Arabidopsis thaliana: one gene and its partner. The protein of the gene in region 1 purifies or fractionates together with the protein of each later gene. This does not show direct contact. Each region holds a gene or a part of one and is shown on either strand. Other genes may lie near its edges.

What was found.
Region 2: the proteins of AT5G15550 (region 1) and AT1G80750 fractionate together in Arabidopsis thaliana (co-fractionation; one large-scale study listed by BioGRID). This does not show direct contact.

Annotation. Positions count from the first base shown.
Region 1 is NC_003076.8:5,060,221-5,064,144, reverse strand, and holds the start of AT5G15550 (Transducin/WD40 repeat-like superfamily protein), read left to right. Parts: upstream 1-2,000; 5' UTR 2,001-2,141; coding exon 2,142-2,298; intron 2,299-2,540; coding exon 2,541-2,641; intron 2,642-2,755; coding exon 2,756-2,862; intron 2,863-3,197; coding exon 3,198-3,233; intron 3,234-3,347; coding exon 3,348-3,433; intron 3,434-3,566; coding exon 3,567-3,625; intron 3,626-3,704; coding exon 3,705-3,815; intron 3,816-3,923; coding exon 3,924-3,924. Other genes in the region: AT5G15560 (uncharacterized protein), read right to left, coding at 1-94. UniProt on the Arabidopsis thaliana protein: Required for maturation of ribosomal RNAs and formation of the large ribosomal subunit.
Region 2 is NC_003070.9:30,346,762-30,350,685, forward strand, and holds AT1G80750 (Ribosomal protein L30/L7 family protein), read left to right. Parts: upstream 1-1,908; 5' UTR 1,909-2,120; intron 2,121-2,270; 5' UTR 2,271-2,290; coding exon 2,291-2,476; intron 2,477-2,827; coding exon 2,828-2,925; intron 2,926-3,022; coding exon 3,023-3,160; intron 3,161-3,264; coding exon 3,265-3,367; intron 3,368-3,454; coding exon 3,455-3,673; 3' UTR 3,674-3,803; downstream 3,804-3,924. Other genes in the region: CMT1 (chromomethylase 1), read left to right, coding at 1-70; AT1G80745 (Transcription factor TFIIIC, tau55-related protein), read left to right, coding at 953-1,036, 1,115-1,165, 1,262-1,313, 1,439-1,560; NIP6;1 (NOD26-like intrinsic protein 6;1), read right to left, coding at 3,879-3,924.

The DNA of each region.
Region 1 (3,924 bases):
CTTTGCTCTCATCATCATTCTTAACCGAAAGAAGAGAAAGAATGTTTCTTTCTATATGGTTAACCAATTTGTTCGATTTTTGTGTTTCATCCATTGTGTTGTAAGAATAGAGTGGTGTAATTGATTGCTGAATCTGAAATAAAATTGATATTGTGATGAAGAGAAACTGGAAAATAAGAAGTTTTAGAAAAGAATTTTTAAGAAGGGTTTTGTCTTGCGCTTAAAGGCTGTTTGATTATATATGAACACAAGAAAAATCTCAACAAAAGTTTTGTTGTTGTTTGTTAACTATTGAAGCCATTGTAATGGCTGTTGTTAAGTGCACGGGAACGATTTAGGATTTATGTAAGCAAAAATAGTTCGTAGTTAACAAAGTTTGACCACCACTCTTTTACCAAAAAAACAAAATTGACCACTCCACCACTTTTAGCAAAAAGTAAGTAATCTCGAGAAGGAAAAAAACAAAAGTCATTAGTATGGGTTAAAAACTTAAATACATGTACTAATCAACAAGAAAATAAATTTGGTGATTTTATTATATAAAGTATGGTTTTCAAAGTTGCTAACTCATAGGATTGTGCCACGTGTCAAGTCAAACGATCAGATGTTTACATGTGTCATTCAAAATTTAACTTTTTAATTCTCTAAAAAAATAGAAAATCTTAAAAAGTAAACAAATTTACATATACTAATTTATATGTCTATATATTTATAAACAATTAACATTTATTCAACAAAAGGAAAATTAACAAATTTGTCTTTAACTCATGTAATCATAAGTGAAAATAGAACATTTTGAGAAAAATAGCTTAGCTTACAGGACTTAACTTTTCAATTATTTTTATTTATTAATTTTAACTCATTTAATATTAATTTGCATGATGTAAAATTAACTTACGAGATTACGGCATATATAGAAAATATATTTTCAACAATGTTTGGTTTCTAAATATTTTTGTGGATTTTTTTTATATTAATTATTAGCCCTAGGCGTTTGGGTTTTCGGGTCGGGTATTTAGGGTTCGGGTTTTCGGGTTTAGAAGTTTAGGACCCGTTCGGGTAATTTAAGGTTTCGGGACATTTATTCAACAAAAAGAAAATTAACAAATTTGTCTTTAACTCATGTAATCATAAGTGAAAATAAAACATTTTGAGAAAAATAGTTTAGCTTACAGGATTTAACTTTTCAATTATTTTCATTTATTAACTTTAACTCATTTAATATTAATTTGCATGATGTAAAATTAACTTACGAGATTACGCCATATATAGAAAATATATTTTTTAACAATGTTTGGTTTCTAAATTTTTTTGTGGATTTCTTTTTTCTATTAATTATTAGCCCTGGGCGTTTGGGTATTCAGGTCGGGTATTTCGGGTTAGGGTTTTCGGGTTTAGAAGTTTAGGACCCGTTCGGGTAATTTAAGATTCCGGGTCGGGTTCGGGTTCGGATTCGAGTTTATTTATATATTGAAATATCAAATTTTGTGTGCAAATCTATTAAATTACTTGAAAATTTCAAAAATTCCCAAAACAACACGAGTAGTTTTGCTTGAATATATCTAAAATGACACAAAAATAACTAAAATATCCAAATAATCCTAATATTTTCTATATATAAGTATAAATATAACTAATATATACTTATATTTGAAATATGTTTGGATATCTATTCGGGTTCGGGTTCGAGTTTTTCGGGTTTTGAAGTTTAGACCCGTTCAAGTATTTGAAAATTTTCGGTACACCCGCCTAAATAGGCGGGCCTTATCTAGTGTTTATATAAAAGATAAGAAAAATATTTTACTCGGTTCAGTTTGATTATTTCAATTTTCTTTGGTTTGGTTTGGTTTGGTTTATATAAAAGTATAAACAGAGGCCTGAGCCGGCCCATCTTAAAGATCCAAATGCTTTGGGCCCAAAATTGATCTCTTCTCACTCGTCGAACCACATATTTCTCTGGTTTGAGTAGCCTCGGTATGATCTAAACCGGAAAAGGAGGTCAATTCCGTAATTTTAAATTTCCTTAAACCCTGTGCCTGGGTGAAATTTCCACACTTCATCGCCTCAAGGCAGAACCCTAATTTATCTCCGCGTCTTCTTTTTGCTCAGTAACAGGCCATCGGAGAAGTTAAGAGGCTAAAATGGATATCGACGGAGAAGATGTATCTAGAAGACTTCACGTTAAGTTCGTGACGAAGCTTGACTCTCCCTTCAAAGTTCCGGTCAACTCCGTCGCAATCCCTTCTAATGTCACTCGTCTCGGCCTCTCTTCCATCGTCAATTCTATTATCGAATCCGGTAGCCTTTTCTCTCCATCTCTCCCTGCAGTTTCGAATGCTAGTATTTATTCGTCTTTGTCTTTAAATTTGTCAAATCCTAAGTGTTACTTGGAATAGTGGTCTCTTTCTCATACGAGAGTTTGTTAGGTCTGCTTAGGAACTTGTTTGTACTTATGAATTAGAGAGCTTACATAAAAGCATATATTATTGTTCTACCTGTGATTATGCAATATTCATCACTGAGACTTTTTGGATGAACAGAGAATCCAGAGTGGAAAACTGAGCCGTTTGATTTCCTTATTGATGGGGAGCTTATTCGGATGTCACTCGAAGAGTTTCTTCTTGCAAAGGGAATATCGGCGGTAATGTGTTTCATCTTAATCTTCCACTATTCACACCAGCTAGTGTACTTGGAATTAGTCCATAGTGCTTTATCTTGGAAACATATACTTAATTAAGTTCATTGGTTCTTACAGGAGCGTACTCTTGAAATCGAATACATAAGGGCTGTGACACCACGGAAGGAAGAAGAACCCTCCTTGCATGATGATTGGGTCAGTGCGGTTAATGGTTCTTCTCCCAGGTAATATTTTTTCCTACTGCATTACTTTATGATGTAGAATTTCCTTTAAGCTGCTAGATGTCTTTTACTATTTCTTCTGTGACACCAGTAATTTGAATTAAAAACTCTTATTCATTTTTACGCACAACCACCTTGCCATATGGAAAATCATAGACCTGTATCTTTGTTTAATATATTCGACTGCCATATCATATGTTGTTAGAATTAGTCTTCATTTGTTCCAATTCAAGGCCATCCAGTGATCCGGATGATATCTAAGGATGAATATAGTCATTTGTTCTTGGTTTTAATGATTGTGTTAGTGGTTCTCTTGATCTCGCTGTTGTTATTTGCAGGTTCATTTTGACTGGGTGCTATGACGGATTAGGAAGGTGATCATTTGACTTATTTATTTAATCTTATATGCTTTTGATTATTTTCTATCCTTTTGTATTGCTTTCAAAATTTGCAAGAATCTTAGATTACTTGGTTTTTCTTCTGATCAGGGTATGGAGTTCGGCTGGATCGTGTTCACACATATTAGAAGGCCACTCCGGGGCTATCTCCTCTGTTGCTTTAGTTAATTCCAACGGTATGACCATCGCATGAGAAATCTATACTATGCCTGTTCTGTACTAGCAAATGATACTAACAAGAATAAATTTTCCCTTTTTTGGCTCATTGATCAATTCTTTGTTTTTCTTTGTGTTGATTTGTGCATCCAGATGCAGAAACTGTTACTGTAGCCACTGCCTCTAAAGATCGGACATTGAGATTGTTTAAGGTAATCACGGATGAGATATCATACTTAAAACCAAAGGTTTATTTTACGTCTAAGTAAAGATATCTCTCCCTGTCTGAAGTTTGATCCAGCTGAGTCTGTTGACTCTACTACGAAAGTAAGGGCATACAAGATATTGCGTGGACACAAGGCGTCAGTTCAAAGTGTTTCAGCTCAGAAATCCGGAAACATGGTTTGCTGTTACTCCTTTCACTTAACTTGTGTTTTGCAAGTATAATTTTGTTGCTATATTTCTTCGAGCTAAGCTGACCCCCTTTTTTTGTTGTATAATGGAATTTAGG
Region 2 (3,924 bases), on another chromosome or scaffold:
GGATGATGAACCAGTAATCAAGCTGCCATTCAAGTATCCCGAATGCATGCAGGCAAAGGATCAAATCTGATTGACAGTCTCCATCAAGTCGTCATGATGAAACTATCTTTAGGAATCATACTTCATTTTCTAGACTTTCTTTTAATTTTTTGGGTTAGCAAGAGCTATATGCTCAAACAATGGCGGCTTAAACTGTCTAGCTCTTTCTTGTTGGTTTATCTTTGACTTTATAATCATTTGGAACCATTTTATTTCTTATGATTTTTAATCTCAAGATTTCAAATTCTATTGCGTAGACTTCAATCCTACGTGATGCCATCCAACAAGAATTAAGACCAAGCAAAAGACAGACAAAACCTGTTATTGAGCATCCGAGGTGCTAGGTACGTCCGTGATCTCTCGACGAACATTGGTTCGATTTTGCGTAATTCAGTTGCCACCGACCGACCGAAACTCTGGTCAATGATCACCACTTACCAGCTTTTATTAGTGTTATTCATTCATTCGCAAAAGCTAAGTAAATTCGAAGGCAGTTAGGCCCACAAGCCCATATAATGGTGAAAGATTTGGTTCACCCAAATAATGTCCCCACTCCTTCGGTTGGGCTTTTACGTTATAATATTCGGCCCAAATTTGATATCTCATAACAGAGCAAATTTTTCACATAGAAGAAGCAGAGAAACCAATTGATCTACTTTTTTTTTTTTTTTGTTTCTTCCTCTTCATCAGGCTTGTTCTTCGATTCCCTCACTTAAAGAAGGGTTTCGAATTTGCTCGAAAGATTGAAAGGAAAAAAAGAAAGAGGTGAACCATTCTCAACATAAATTTGTTGTTTAGGAGATGTAAGAATGATAATTTCTTGGATCTAATCGCGTTCAGAAAGTGAGAAAGTTTTAGGATTCATAAATATCTTTGTGTTCTTCTCCACCCTAATAAACACATTGATACAGAGATGGAGGATGAACATGTTATGATTGATCTTGATGACGTTTCAAGGCACATTGACATTCCAGCAGATGCTCCTTATACTTTATCAGTTAGTTCAATCCAATTCTTTCATTTCACTTTTTGCATTCTCTTGTTTTATAAGTTTGGTTTTGTTTGGTTCTCATAGGGTTTGGATACTTTGAATCCGGTGTTGACCATAGATGGCAAAATGAAGCTGGTAATTCTCTTACTTGCAACTAGTACAATTTTCCAAGTTCAGTTACTCTTTTTGCTTAAACCATTCTTAATCGTGTTAGATTTGATGATCTCTCAGGTAGGAGAATATATAGCAACGATTGGTACATGCCTTGCTTTCTCTGACAAAGGTTAGTTTCACTTTTCCTCTTTATTATCAAACATGGAAACACATGTTATTGTTTCAAGTAATTATTCTGTCCCTTCAAGATGCTGATTTGGGGTTGCGGTTTCTTCATTTGTCTGTTTGCACAAGGTGATAACCAGACGCCACAGAAGAAGACAGTTGAACCTGTTGCCAAACTCCACAAGATTCTCAAGTTTAGGTTAGCACCATTAGACAACGAAGATGGAGTAACAAAAACAACCAATTTGTAAAAGTTTTTCTCTTGTTCAAGTCATTGGAAACCTGACTTTTCTTCAAAGATCATATTAAAAAAAAGAACTATAACAATAACCGACAGATTATATATGTAGCTAAGGCACATGCAGCATCTTCCTTTGTTGGCCTCTTGAAAGTAGCAATCAAACTAAGACCAAACCAAAAGGTAACTAAACGATTCACAACTTCAACGTACGTTTTCATGATTTGTCCTTCTGATGATGTCAATAAAATAAAAACTGAATTGAATCAACCAGTGATGGAGAAATTATGCATCCCATGTAATTAAAAGAAACAAAATCACACAAGATATTATAAAATAAAACTAGGTATATTCAAAGGCAGTAAGGCCTTACATAAGCCCATAAATATTGGGCTTTTTTAGCCCAATAGTATTATGAGTCTGGCCCGGAGCGTAATTAGGTCTGGTGGCAAAGTTGTTAATAACACAAAAGAGATTTTAGTTAATAAACCCTAGGCTTCTCAAATCGGCCATTGCTACCAACTTCGACTTGGAATTCTTTCAGCCGCCGTCCCAATTGCTTTGCCGCCACCGGTAAATTTGTTCCCCCTTTTCCGTTCTTCTTATCTTGTTCATTCTGTTGGTGTCCCTATAGCCTCACTTTCTTATAGGGTTGAGTTCAGTCTCTGTTTATAAACTTTTTTCGCAAAAAAATTCAATCTGACAATCTGTTTTGTGTTGTAGAAGCAAAGAGTAGAGAGATAATGGCTGAGGAAGAAGCTAAGGGTTTGGATTACATACCGGAGATAGTACTGAAGAAGAGGAAGAACAGAGATGAGCTTGCCTTTATCAGGAAGAAGCAACTTGAGTTGGGTAATTCCGGCAAGAAGAAGAAGAAAGTCTCTGATATCAAACGTCCTGAAGATTTTGTTCATGAGTTCAGGGCTAAGGTACACTTCTTTTTTTCCAGATTCTCTGAAAAACTTTTGCTTTGTCTTTTTCCATTCGTTTTACTGCCTCAAGTTCTGATTTTTGCTTCTTGACTTTTGTCTACACCTTAGAAGAACTTGTTTTTGCTTATTCTTTGAGTTAAATTAAAGCTATACATCAACCTTTATGATTAGGTTTTGTCACTTATCTCTTAGACTGTAACTTTTCTACAGATAATTTTGTGTTTCTCCTTTGAGATTTCTCCCTAGTTTTGCAAGGTTGTGCTTAGGACTTGTTGTTTCTTCTGTCAATCCTGCATTGTTCTCTGTAATTTAACTGTTCCCTTTTTGCTAATTTTATCCCTACTTAAGGAAGTAGATATGATCCGGATGAAGCAAAGAGTAAAGAGGCCAAAGTCATCTCCTCCACCAGTTAAATCTGACCTGGTTTTCATCATACGCATTCAAGGGTATTTGATATTCTCCAATTAGCTTTGTTTTCCCCCTGGAGTTTTAATCTTTATCTCTGCCTGTTTCTTATCCTTGCCTTTTCTTTCTGGTGACCAGCAAGAATGATATGCACCCAAAGACCAAGAGGATTCTTAACAATTTGCAACTAAAGAGCGTCTTTACTGGTGTATTTGCTAAAGCAACTGACAGTTTGTTCCAAAAGCTTCTCAAAGTGCAGCCTTATGTCACTTATGGGTACGTAGAGACAATCAATCCTCTTTCAATATTTCCTTGTTACTCGATTTCCATGCTGTTTCTCTATTCTCGTATGAGCTAACCGATGTTTACGATTCTTGAAGATACCCGAATGATAAGAGTGTTAAGGACCTTATATACAAAAAGGGATGCACAATCATTGAGGGAAATCCTGTTCCTCTTACCGACAACAATATAATCGAACAGGTAAAATTTCCTACTCTTAAAAGTATAGGAGCTTATTCCAGATAATAACCATGCTGTTCTTAATCGTTTCCACTTTTGTTACCTTAGGCTCTAGGAGAACACAAAATCTTGGGCATAGAAGACCTTGTGAATGAGATAGCAAGAGTCGGAGATCATTTCAGAGAAGTTATGAGATTCTTGGGACCCTTGAAACTCAACAAGCCTGTGGCTGATGTTTTGCACCGGAAGAAACAAGTTTTCAGCGAAGGAGGAGATACCGGAAACCGCGAAGATAAGATCAATGATCTCATCAGCAAAATGAATTAGAAGCAGCAATCGTTGTAATCGCTAGCTACTTACTATATTTTCCTTAAAAGATCTGTACGAGGCTAAAAACCAACCATTTTGATGAAACACTTGCAATTTTGGTTAAAGGGCATTCCAAATTTTATAAGCATCGTCGACTTCAGATATTATATTATACACATATATTTATGTGATGTAAACAGAGTAATATAGAAGCGAGTGTTTTTCATCTTCTGAAGCTCCTCCTCTCTTTGGGTGCTTCATCTTCCTCT